Linked DNA regions of Saccharomyces cerevisiae S288C. The gene in region 2 interacts genetically with the main gene of each other region. Each region holds a gene or a part of one and is shown on either strand. Other genes may lie near its edges.

What was found.
Region 1: mutations in YPC1 (region 2) and YLR156C-A together harm fitness more than expected from each alone (negative genetic interaction), as found in Saccharomyces cerevisiae (one large-scale study listed by BioGRID).
Region 3: mutations in YPC1 (region 2) and YIL001W together harm fitness more than expected from each alone (negative genetic interaction), as found in Saccharomyces cerevisiae (one large-scale study listed by BioGRID).
Region 4: mutations in YPC1 (region 2) and HNT3 together harm fitness more than expected from each alone (negative genetic interaction), as found in Saccharomyces cerevisiae (one large-scale study listed by BioGRID).

Annotation. Positions count from the first base shown.
Region 1 is NC_001144.5:471,979-474,452, forward strand, and holds YLR156C-A (uncharacterized protein), read right to left. Parts: upstream 633-2,474; coding exon 501-632; downstream 1-500. Other genes in the region: YLR156W (uncharacterized protein), read left to right, coding at 135-479; asparaginase ASP3-2, read right to left, coding at 991-2,079.
Region 2 is NC_001134.8:594,517-597,565, reverse strand, and holds YPC1 (phytoceramidase), read right to left. Parts: upstream 1,452-3,049; coding exon 501-1,451; downstream 1-500. Other genes in the region: YBR184W (uncharacterized protein), read right to left, coding at 1-203; YBR182C-A (uncharacterized protein), read left to right, coding at 2,011-2,205; SMP1 (Smp1p), read left to right, coding at 2,702-3,049. UniProt on the Saccharomyces cerevisiae protein: Alkaline ceramidase that hydrolyzes phytoceramide and also dihydroceramide into phytosphingosine or dihydrosphingosine. Prefers phytoceramide.
Region 3 is NC_001141.2:352,099-355,981, reverse strand, and holds YIL001W (uncharacterized protein), read right to left. Parts: upstream 2,043-3,883; coding exon 501-2,042; downstream 1-500. Other genes in the region: phosphoinositide 5-phosphatase INP51, read left to right, coding at 2,551-3,883.
Region 4 is NC_001147.6:809,782-812,824, reverse strand, and holds HNT3 (DNA 5'-adenosine monophosphate hydrolase), read right to left. Parts: upstream 1,155-3,043; coding exon 501-1,154; downstream 1-500. Other genes in the region: proteasome regulatory particle base subunit RPT4, read left to right, coding at 1-430; CDC31 (centrin), read right to left, coding at 1,332-1,817; TRE2 (putative zinc metalloprotease), read left to right, coding at 2,142-3,043. UniProt on the Saccharomyces cerevisiae protein: DNA-binding protein involved in single-strand DNA break repair, double-strand DNA break repair and base excision repair.

The DNA.
Region 1 (2,474 bases), on a different chromosome or scaffold from region 2:
CTAAGCCATGCAAGTTTTTTTTTTCATTTGGTGGCGAAACAAAGGTGATGAAAGTTTCTTCTTGTACAAACGCCAATCCCGATAGGTGAGACAATTCTTGAAGTAATGGACCTCTGAGTAAGCATATCAGTCGAATGAAGTTCCAATATGCGTTGGCCAAGGAACAGCTAGGCAGCAACTCGCGCAGTGGCGTCAAAAAACTAATAAGTAAACACCACTGGCTTCCGGAATACTATTTCTCTGATCTCTCATTTTCTGTTGTACAGCAGTGGGACAGTAGAGCCATTGAAAAAACTACAATCATATCTTGTATGCGGCCCGCAAACCAAGAGATTTATCCTTTGAGACATTGTGAGACCCTCCGTTCGCAACCGTGCTCTCTGTTTTCATCACTATATGCACGCTCTTTCCAAAGCTCCTGCACTTTGCACGTGGCGGAGCCATCGCCCGGCTTCCATATGTACGGCTGCCACACCTAACTATTTCGGTTGCGGCCATATCTACCAGAAAGCACCGTTTCCCGTCCGATCAACTGTAGTTAAGCTGGTAAGAGCCTGACCGAGTAGTGTAGTGGGTGACCATACGCGAAACTCAGGTGCTGCAGTTGTTTTTTTTTTCGCGCACGAATACATCACGCAGCCTCGCCTTGACACTGCTCAAGGGATAAGGGGAAGGAGCTGAGATAGAACTGAGTTGGAGCGTTGCAGCGGCACGAGCAGTGAAAAGAGCGAAGAGAAGAGAAGCAGATAAAAGACCAAAGTAGCGATGATACTTCGATGTTTGGAGCGATTTTTCCTATGTGAATATTAGAAATCATATGTTTTGTATCAGCTGAACAGTGAATGATGTGCTCAATACTCAAATTCATCTTTTTGTTTGCTAAAAATAGCTTAACTGGCACATCATGAAAAGGATGTAGAAATTATAGAGTATATTTACTACTAAGAACTATATAAAAACACAGTGTGATGAAAAGTCACTGATCAGGCTTTAACCACCGTAGACGCCAGAAAAAACAGACCTAATCTGATCCATGCCGTAGCCGGAGTACAAACATAATTGTAGCAAAATACGCGATTTTTGAGGGTTTAGGTAGCCAGATCCAATGGCGTACTCTGGGGCATCATCTGGAGGAACTGTACCATCTGCTGTTCTTCTGCTGTGAACAATTGGTATACCATACTCTTCATAAAGTTGTTCGTTTACAATACTACCCGTAGCAGTCCAGGAACCAGCTCCAGAACCCGCCAACACGATACCTTTTGCGCCCAGGTCCTTGACGGCCTTTACTATTAGCTCAGGATTCAAGCCTTGATAGGAGTACAGAATAATGACTTCTGGAATTTCCGAAGGGTCTGTGAGGTTGGAAATGTCAAAAAATTGCCATCCATTTGGCTTGACTGGTGGGTAGTAAAACTCCACGTCATCATTTGAAAAGTAACCTAAATATCCCTGTTCATCCGCTCTGAATGTATCTAAAGAGTTGGCATTCATTTTCGTTGTCCAAAACCCAGAGGCAATACGATCGTTTAGAGTGATCATCGTGCCACGACCCAGTGATTTCTCAGAAGCAGCAATAGACACTGCTTGATATAAATTCATTGGGCCATCAGCAGACGTGGCAGTGGCTGGACGCATAGCGCCTGCGATACATACTGGCTTCTCTGAATTTATGGTCAAATCTAAGAAGAAAGCTGTCTCCTCCATAGTGTCGGTCCCATGAGTGACAACCGCACCAGCGTAGTCATCAGAGGCTAGTGCCTCGGAGATACCGTGATACAATGGGATCAGATGCGTATAGTTTAAAGAATTTGAACCAACGTTAGACACTTGAAGATAGTCCAGATTTGCCTTCTCAGCTAAAGATGGGACGGCTTCTATTAAATCATTTACGGTTAATCCCACGCTATAACCCGCCGTTGTTGCACTTGTCGAACCCTTGGAAGCGATAGTACCGCCGGTACCAAAAATTTTGATTGATGGCAAAGAAGAATTCTTCTCTTCACGAATTTTTAGTAGTGGAGCACCACTGGACATTGCGACAAAGAGAGAAAGTAAAAGGGTATTTAAAGATCTCATAGTTGGAGGTTGGTGAGTACCAGATTGCTTACAAAAGAATAGCGAGCCAACATTTGCTCTGCCTCAGGCCTCTTGGTGCTGCTTGAAGACTCATCTTATATGGCTTTTGTATGTCATGATTTGTTCTTGTACATTATGTGTTGATATTAAACAAATTGATTTTTTTTTTTTTGCGATAGCAAGCAGATAATGAAAGAGACAAGGACTTGGAACATCCGATAAGACTGCGCCGATATCGATCTTACAGTCCTTCCCTTGTGTCATGACTTTCGGAAAAGCATCCTCGTCGACTGGTAGTTTGCTGTCTGTCACGTGCTGAAGGGTCTGATACATTTTTTTAAAGATAAGAGACGGGGTTTACCTTCGGAGGACTAAGCGAGATCTCCAAGTAAAGA
Region 2 (3,049 bases):
TAATAAGGACAAATATCCATTATATCCAAATCTTCCTTTTCCTCATAGCCTGTAAAATTATTAGGTTCGGATACTGTGTGCTCTATGTTGTTATTAAATGTTATTATTGGTCTTTTGTGGTTTCTTAATATTGTTCCACTATCGTATTGAAAGTTTGATTTTTCAGAAGCCAAAATAGCATTCAATACATTATTTTGGTACATGTCCCGAATTAGCTAACAAATTTCTTAGTATTTGTGTTACAACAATTAGAGATTTTGTTTTGTTTATTTACTTTCATCAATTCACGTTATTTTGCCGCCGACGGCTTTGAGACCGCACAAAGTTTTTTTTCACCAGAGCAATAAGCTGGGTCATTTAAACTATTCGCAAATCAAGGATTCAAAAGATCTTTTCTTAGATATATTTTCTTCGTGATTCGTCATTAAATAGAACATGAAATAAAAAAAATAAAAAATAAATATGCCTATACATTATGAATATATATTATGCTATAATTATTACTTCTCCTTTTTAACTTCAATTGATTGATCTTCTACGTATGGGCCAAATAGTTCAAGTGAATATCTTGTTGAGGGTTTGCGCCCTTTCCATATCAGTTCAGGGAAGACTTTCCATCTCCAGATGAACTGGTAATTGCAGCTGACGTTGAGCGTAATGACCCTTAAATGTTCCAAAGAAACAATGTAGAAATAAATCCCCATACCAGTTAATATATGCCACCATCCGTGTGGTTCAAGCAGTACACCAAGTGGTAAAGCCAAAATACTTCTTCTAACGTGCACCCAGAACGAACAATAGTGTATATCAAGTAGCCACGAAATGTAGCCAGATAAGAACAAAATTGCGCCGAGCGCCATTGAAGCCTTGAGATTTCTTTTGGCAAGTGGATCATGGACGTATCTGTACGTCAAACTTCCTGCAGTAGCAGCCACAACTACAATCTGTACGCCAAACAAAATTTGATGGATATCGACATTTTTGTAAATAACGTAGAGTATGCTTGCTGTTGTAACGGCCAGGCCGATAATTACGCCGATGAATATCTGTTCAAATAGAGGAACCTTCTTGTGATTATCTCCGTTAAGTAATGCCTCTTTGGCCTCGCATACTAAACTCCATGTCGGAATGCACATGGCGTATATCATTGGAAGTTCATCCAATAGTTGGAATCTATACTTCAGTGTCATATGAAATAGCCATGATCCTACTCCGACCAAACCGTACCCGAAGCCAATAAGTAAAAACCTTTTTTCTAATTTATTCTTGTAAGCAGAGTAAGTTGTGTAAATCGCTGACAGTATGAATACGCTGTTAGTTAAAGTGTTTGACCACTCGGCAATATAGGGAGAAACGACATAGTTCTCCTCACACCAGTCAATAGTGGAAGTTGTTTCTCCCCAAACGCCGGGGACAGAACTCTCTGGATAGTTCCAACGAAATATTCCCATCAATCTTCTATTTTCTTAAATAAAGATTTCTGCTTTTATTTACAAATTAATCTCTGTAAGTATCGGACCTTATAAAAACCCCTTACACAATAACTATATAGATGTATATAGGATATATAGATATATATATGCAAATATCTTTTTCCTATAAGCGATAAAAATAAAATGCTACCCGAATTCTATTTAGACATATATAACCGGAGACAGATATTTTTTATGTCATGGGGTAGAGTAGTGCGTTTGAAAGTATCAAACAAAAAGTTTCAGGGGCCGGATCTAATCGGCATAAATATTTTCCGATGTCTCGCGTTAAAAAACTTGCGTGATAATCCGTCCGCACTAGTGGGATCGAAAGAAGGGGCGTGGTCAGAAGGGTAACGTTATGTGAAACCCTTGCCTTTGAATCTTTCCTGCTATGCTACGTCGGCCGACACTTCCATTTGAAAAAAATATAAACGATGGTGTTGCCAAGTATTTTTTTTCGCCTTCGTTTAACGTCAGCATTACTAAAAAGGTTAATGGTTGGCGATACTAACTAAAAAGAATTTGTAGAAATGCCATGAAGATTTTCACGCTGTATACCATGATTCAGCAATACTTTTTTGATAATGGCGGTGTTTATAGTATAAAGAATTTTTATTCTGCAGTTCCGAAGGAGAAAATGAACATAATTCTTGTTTCACTTGATTGTGAGCTCCAAAAGCTTGCTCTTAAGCTGTCAAAGAAAACTAGTGGCACTCACACTACGCACTAGCTTTTACACCACATCGTTATTGTTTTCCATTAACGCTTACGTAAATTTCATCTATCATTCTACCTGTACCGTTCCCGATGATAGTGGCTTACAAAACGGCTTGAGGTACAGTTGGTTCGAACTTTTTGCATTATTGTTGCCTTCTTTTTTTAGTAACAAGCGGCGTCTTTGTTTCTTCTGCAAAAATAATCTCGCTCGAGTAATTGGAGGCTTGGCAAAACTTAAATCTCCACGCATACCCGGCTTCCTATGTTCGTGAAGGACTCAAAAACATGAACTATCCTTATCCATCTTTCTTTTGCCAAATTATTTTAGCCAATCTATATAACACTACATCATTCCTTTGAGTCTTTCTTTATCATTCATTCGAAGGGAGAAATATACGAGCCAAATTCAAAGACAGACTATTTTTTCGAGCAGGCCTATCTCATCAGAAAAAAATTTAATAAAGCTCTAGATAAGCAAACACAATTATTTTCAAAAAAATTTCTGCTAAATGGGTAGAAGAAAAATTGAAATTGAACCTATCAAAGATGATAGAAATCGTACAGTTACTTTCATAAAGCGAAAAGCAGGACTATTTAAAAAGGCTCATGAATTGTCAGTACTTTGCCAAGTAGACATTGCTGTCATTATTTTAGGATCCAATAATACATTCTACGAATACTCTTCTGTTGATATGAGTAACCTGCTTAATGTTCATCAAAACAACACTGATCTTCCTCATAATATCATAGAACCATCTGATTATGGTGACTATGTGAAAAAACCACGTGTTGTTCTGAATGAAAGGAAGCGCAGGCGAAGAAGAGCAACCGTGTTGCAACCAGCTTCCCATTCTGGG
Region 3 (3,883 bases), on a different chromosome or scaffold from region 2:
AATGTCATCGCTTGTTACAATATTTTCATTCCTTTATTCAAGGATTTTTTTTTTTAATTTTTCGTTAAAAAATATTGATCACTTTATAGGGAATATTATGTACCTGGCTACAGCTGAAGCTTGCCTCTGTATGTAAAGTATCTAAAATATATCAATTTTTTTTTTTGGATAACACCTGTTTTCATTACCCTGTATCTCGTATTCGTGAAAATAACTATTCTGAAGTAATAATTATAAAAAACATTTCGGAAAACAAAACCATTAATAATTTGTTTTTAATTTTAAATATCAATATTATAATAATTTATAATATTATAAAAATTTAATTAAAAATATAAAAATTTTCACGTGAATCATATGTATATATATTTTTTACAGAAAAAGTATCATACTTCTTATTATAATTGTCATTATATTTTTTAAGAGTGCGCAGCAGTCATTGGCAATATTCATCCGTTCGCAGTGACGCGTAAAAATACATAAGGTTATTGAATGCGGAATTATACATCAAGTTCCAGATCAGCTAGGATATTATCTAACATACCCATATCTTTTCTGTACTCCAAATACCCTACTTGTTTTAGGTATTCTAAATCGTCTTGGTTTTCGAACAGCTCCACATCATCCGGTTCAAAAGAATATTTTCGGAGCAAATAGTACCTAATGTCATCCACTAGTTCAATAGTATCAGTTTCCTGGCGGAGAGAAATTCGTTGTGAACTCAACATAATTGCCCTTTTAATCTCTGGATCTTTATATAACTCTTGCAAATGTATAGCTATAAATTTAGCTGCAAATTGTTCTAAGCGTTCCACTCCTATTTCCCATGATAAATAGAGTACGTCAAAAACATTGTATTGCTGAATAAACTCTTTTGATTGTGTTATAATTGTAGAAGCGATAGTTTTTAAGCGGTCTTCTAAAAGTATATCGGCAAGTAACAAAACATCGACGGCATACATCCAAGGAATGTCTGTATTATCTGCATATAAGTAGCGGAGAATAATTTCGGCAACCTCAAACTCACAATTGGGTAATGTCAGCTGTGGAATGATACTATTATACTTTCCTGTAACGTGCTTGGCTTTGATATATGTAACTTTCTCCTTGAAGTTGTTTGTGAACATCACCTTGAAATATTCTGCGCGGCTCAAAACAGCCAGGTGACAAGGGTATATTCGAATGGCTCCATTTCGGTTTTTTACCATAAGTTGAACATCCGGATAAGCTGGACAGTTCATCAAGGAAAAAACTCGTCGTTCACTATTAGCAAGATCAACAGTAGATCTAAAGATACAATTGTTCACAAATATTAAAAGTTGACTTCTTGCAACCTCGGTAAACTTATATTGGTAATCTGACATTAACCTCGACTTTTCCGTAGGATCGGCGGTATGCCTTGCTTTGTCTAAAAATTCGGGCAATAACTCAATATCAAATTTACTAGATAGCTCTATAAGTTCTTCATATTGTCCCGGTTCAATTTGGTGCAGGATCGGAATTAAGTAAAGAAATTTCAAAAATATGTCAAATATATCTGGGCGCACTTCAAGAGAAACAATTTCATGCTTTGCCCACTCATTCACCATTTTTTCTGCTAGAATTTCGCTCCTTGCACATAATAAGAACTTATGCGCTGTGAACAGTTTTCCATTCGAAACTCTGAATGTGATATCTCTTTTAAGGAAGCCTTCGTCATTATACATCGATGAGATATGAGTAGCAAAGGGTTGCTTGACATCTACAGCCTTGGATATATCATAACTTAAAAGGGTATCTCTGATAGTATCGGTCAATGCTCCATAAATACATCGAGCTCCTTCATATCTGTCTCTATCACAGACGGCTCCTCTCTGTAGAAGAAGTTTCACGACTGCTTCATGCCCGCAAAGGCTAGCCAGAAAAAGTGGCGAATTGTCAAACTTGTCAACACTATTCACATTTACTCCCGTGGAAATCAATCTATCAACATTGTCCATATCACCAGTGCGGCATGAATAGCACAGTTCTTCAAAATTTTTGTCCATTAATTTATCTGCCATAAATATGCCAAAGGTCGTTTTCAAGTGGTAGTGTACAATTTATGACAAATCTTTCCTGTAGTTTTTTTTTTCTTGTATTTTTGTTTATTGTCAATATGACCATAGAGAATAGTAAGTAAATTGAGTGTCCACATCTACGTAGTCCACGTATTATTATTTTACTTAAAAGGGATGGGTGTTTTAGGAATTCAGAATAAGCGATACCGTTTCTAAATTCTCAATTTAGAAGGTTAGGCAGGAATTGAGTTTCAATATAACCTGTTAATGTCCCTTTTTTTTTATCTTCTATTCTTGACGTCGTTTTATCTCCTTCAGGGTTTCCTGTTTTCCTTCTTGTTTAGCATTGCCTAATTGCTAAACGAATCCCTTTGTTAAACATTTGTAAACCGGAAAGTTGGAACAAATATCTACACAAATCAAATAGCCTTTCTATTTCATTCTAGGATTAAGTCAGCAAATATTGATAAAGTTGTGTTAATCGTATGAATTCGAAGCACATTTCACTACAATGAGACTCTTCATCGGTAGAAGATCACGGTCGATTGTAATATCTTCCAACAACTACTGTTTATCCTTCCAGCGTTTGCGCAGCATACCAGGTGCCAGTTCTCAGCAGCGTCAATTAAGTAAAACTCCTAGCGTAACAATCAAGTCCTACCCTGACACAGATCTTTCAAGTGATAGTAACTATCTCGAAGTCAAAAGTTGCATATTTAATGGATTATTAGGGCTCGTTTGTCTTAATGGTGATATATATGTTGCCGTCATATCTGGTGTTCAGAATGTTGGGTTTCCTCGATGGAAACTGATAGATCATCAAGTTAGGCCTTCGGAGAGCATTTATAAAGTATTGGATGTTGACTTTTACAGCTTAGAAAATGATGTTTTCGACTACCTCCTCTGCGAGAGATCAGAGCAAAACTATGATAAATTGATTCATGAGCATCCTTGCGGCCCCCTGAAAAAACTGTTTAGTGATGGAACATTCTACTATTCTAGAGATTTCGACATCTCTAATATCGTGAAAAACCATGGTTTATCACATAACTTAGAATATACCGTAGATAATCAAGATTTATCATTTATTTGGAATGCTAACTTAGCAAGTGAGGTAATCAACTGGAGAAGCAAGATTTCAAATGAGGAGAAACAACTTTTTGCCAACGCAGGGTTCTTAACATTTGTAATTCGGGGTTATTGCAAGACAGCATTAATAGAAGACGGCCCAAATACAGCCTCTATAACCATTATTTCCAGAATTTCGACTGAGAGCAAGCAGGATACGCTAGAATTGGAGGGTATTAGTGAAGATGGGAGAGTGTCGCTATTTGTTGAGACAGAAATTGTAGTAACCACAGAAAAGTTTATTTTTTCTTATACTCAAGTGAACGGAAGCATTCCTCTTTTTTGGGAATCTGTAGAAAGTCAACTGTTGTATGGAAAAAAAATTAAGGTAACAAAAGATTCTATTGAAGCTCAGGGAGCTTTTGACAGGCATTTTGATAATTTAACCTCAAAGTATGGTGTTGTGAGTATCGTTAATATCATAAAACCTAAAAGCGAATCACAAGAAAAGTTAGCACTGACGTACAAGGATTGTGCTGAATCAAAGGGAATAAAAATAACAAATATAGAATACAGCTCAAGCGTTCTGACAAAGTCTCCCCACAAATTACTTTATTTATTAAAACAGGATATTTACGAGTTTGGAGCGTTTGCCTATGATATCTCTAGGGGCATCTACTTTGCAAAACAAACGGGGGTATTAAGAATAAGCGCATTTGATTCAATTGAAAAACCTAACACAGTTGAAAGGTTAGTGAGCAAGGAGGTACTTGAAT
Region 4 (3,043 bases), on a different chromosome or scaffold from region 2:
TTCAGCAGACCGTGAAATTCAACGTACGTTGATGGAGTTGTTGACCCAGATGGATGGTTTTGATAATCTTGGACAGACTAAAATCATCATGGCTACGAATAGACCAGATACTTTAGATCCTGCTTTGTTGAGGCCCGGTAGACTAGACAGGAAAGTTGAAATCCCATTGCCAAATGAGGCCGGCAGATTAGAAATTTTCAAAATTCATACTGCAAAAGTCAAAAAAACAGGGGAATTTGACTTCGAGGCTGCTGTAAAAATGAGTGATGGTTTCAATGGTGCTGATATTCGTAACTGTGCAACTGAAGCAGGTTTTTTCGCCATAAGAGATGACCGTGATCACATCAACCCTGATGATTTAATGAAAGCCGTAAGAAAAGTAGCTGAAGTTAAGAAATTGGAAGGCACTATAGAATACCAAAAATTATGATGTTAAAAAGACATGTGTATGTATAGGTATGTGTATATCAGTAACAAAAAGAAATGCGAGAAAGCTTGCCTTATTTAAGCTCGAAATGGCTATTGAACTCTAGTTCTAAATGCTTTTTCAATAAGCTAAATTTATTACTAAAATTTCGCTGACAATAGCAGCAAAGTAAATCGTGTTCTTTCAGGTACGTAGTTTCAATTTCCTTGTCAGTGCCCAAATTTTTTCCGTTCAATGGTAAATCGTCCCAACTAATGAAGAATCCAGTATTAAATGAATTATAATGTTTTTTGTTCTTCAATCTTACCGAATGGAAATCTTTGGATATGACGTGTATATGTAAGTTGGCCATCGAAGGCACGCTGTGTATCCCAACTTGTACAAAATTTCTTACAAACTTGTTTTTGTCTTTTAATATGTCATCCCAGCAGGGGTCTTTGTCATCATCACTCTTCTTTATTCGGAACTTTTCTTGAAAATGCCTAAAGATGTGGTCAATCGCAGAATTAACGTATGATTCAAACTCATTCTTAAACTTAGCATCAATCACTTTAGTAGGATGACTTCTACTCAGCTGCATAGTTCGTGGTAGAATCAATAAATGGCACTCTGATTTAGGAAACGAGTCTCTAATTATGGACACTTTATCATCAAAGTATGTGACTGTATCATCGTTTACCGTTTCTGGGCTGGTAACGTAGTTTTTTAACGCATACCTCCATGACATTTTTCAGTGTTTTGTTTTATTGTCTTCTCTTATTGTTGCCCTGCAGGATTAGATTGGCTTTTTCACTTTTAAGTGCATCCTTGGGCAAGATGTAAGTTAAAACAGAAAACGAGAGACCCACGGGAGTATACTAATATAGTTACAAATCATTTTTATAGATTAAATATATAGTCATAATTAACTATCGGTGCAAATAGCTATAAATTCGTTTTCATTAATCTCGCCATCACCATCCAAATCAAACTCTTCAATCATCGCTCTCAGCTCTTCATCCGTCAAAGTTTCTCCTAATTCTTTAGCTACACGCCTCAAGTTTTTAATACTTATTTTCCCAGTATGGTCGTCATCAAATAATTGGAATGCCCTTTTTATTTCATCTAACGGATCTCTCTTCAATATTTTTTCCCCCATTACAATATAAAAATCATCATACTTCATCAAATGCCGCCCCTCACTATCATATTCATCTATTAAGTCAAGTATTTCTCTCTTGGGTAGCTCAAATCCCAGGGCCTTCATTGCTACTTTCAACTCGTGGTAATCGAGGAACCCATCATTGTTCATATCGAACAATGAAAACGCCTCATATATTTCTTGCTTTTGCTCCTCCAATAACTCGCTATTAAGTGGACCAGACTGTAGCGATGACCTGTTCTTACTCATACTGTATGATTTATTTCCGTTTCTTCTTTGGTTCACTTCCTTTCTCGTTTAATAAATCTCTTCCATACTTACTAATTAGGATTCTTCTTTTTTTCTCTCTATTTCGCAATAGTTAAGCCTCCAAAACTCTTGGAAATTTAGTAGATAAAATTACGGCATCAGGCAAGAACTAGTTAAGCAAGTACTTCCTGCATCATTAAAGTTGTTCTTTTCCTAAACGCCTCTCAATACTAGAGAAATACATCAAGCTTTGGGTTATTTGAAATCTGTAACTAATTTGCAAACCAAGATAATACCCCCGGGTATTGAGATCAAGTAATTTTAATGAGGAGCAGTTATCAACCAGTGTCAACTACAAACTTTGAACATGAAAATGCTATACCTACTGCGTCGTCGTCCCATAATCTGTTGATGAGCCAGCGTTTTGATGATTCTCCTCCTAGTTCTAACGACAACAGTATAGAAACTAATATAACGCCTCCACCTGAACCACCTTCTTATGAATTTGATATAGAGGACCCTCACGATGATCTTCACAAAAGAACACATCTACAGAGGGTTTCAATTGGGTTTCAGGAAAAAATTTTGGAACCCTTAATGGAAAACATCATTCATCCACTCTTACAAATATCAAAATTCGTTCCAGACAAAGCTGACTATTACTTAAGTAAAATCGGAAATCCCTTTATACTTCGAAGGTTCTTTTACATCATTTTCATGTCATTTATTGCATATTATGTCTTGTCAAGTGGCTACTTATTCAACGAAAAGGCATCAGGATCTAAAGGGATGTTTTCTCAACACGATATACTTTTTGAATATGCCAAAAAATCCGTGGATTTGGCAAAGTTTGAGAGAGATTTGGAATATATTAGTAGCATGCCTCATGGATCCGGAACGAAGGGTGATGCAGCTATTTATCGATACATTCAGGAATCTTTTGACAACAATGGGTTGAAATTGGTTAAAGAAATGGGATACTCAGTTTATTCTAATTATCCAGGCAATGTATCAATTTCATATTATGATAACAAGAATGAAAAGCATGATCTAGAACTTTCTAAAGAAAATTTCAATCCGTTGAGTTCTAACGGGAAATTATCCAAAGTGAGCTTGATTTATGGAGGCAAAGGTACAACATACGATTTACAACATTTAAAAGATTCGAAAACGATAGAAGATGGGAAGGACTATGTGCTTTTACTGCAATATGATAAATTAGTGAG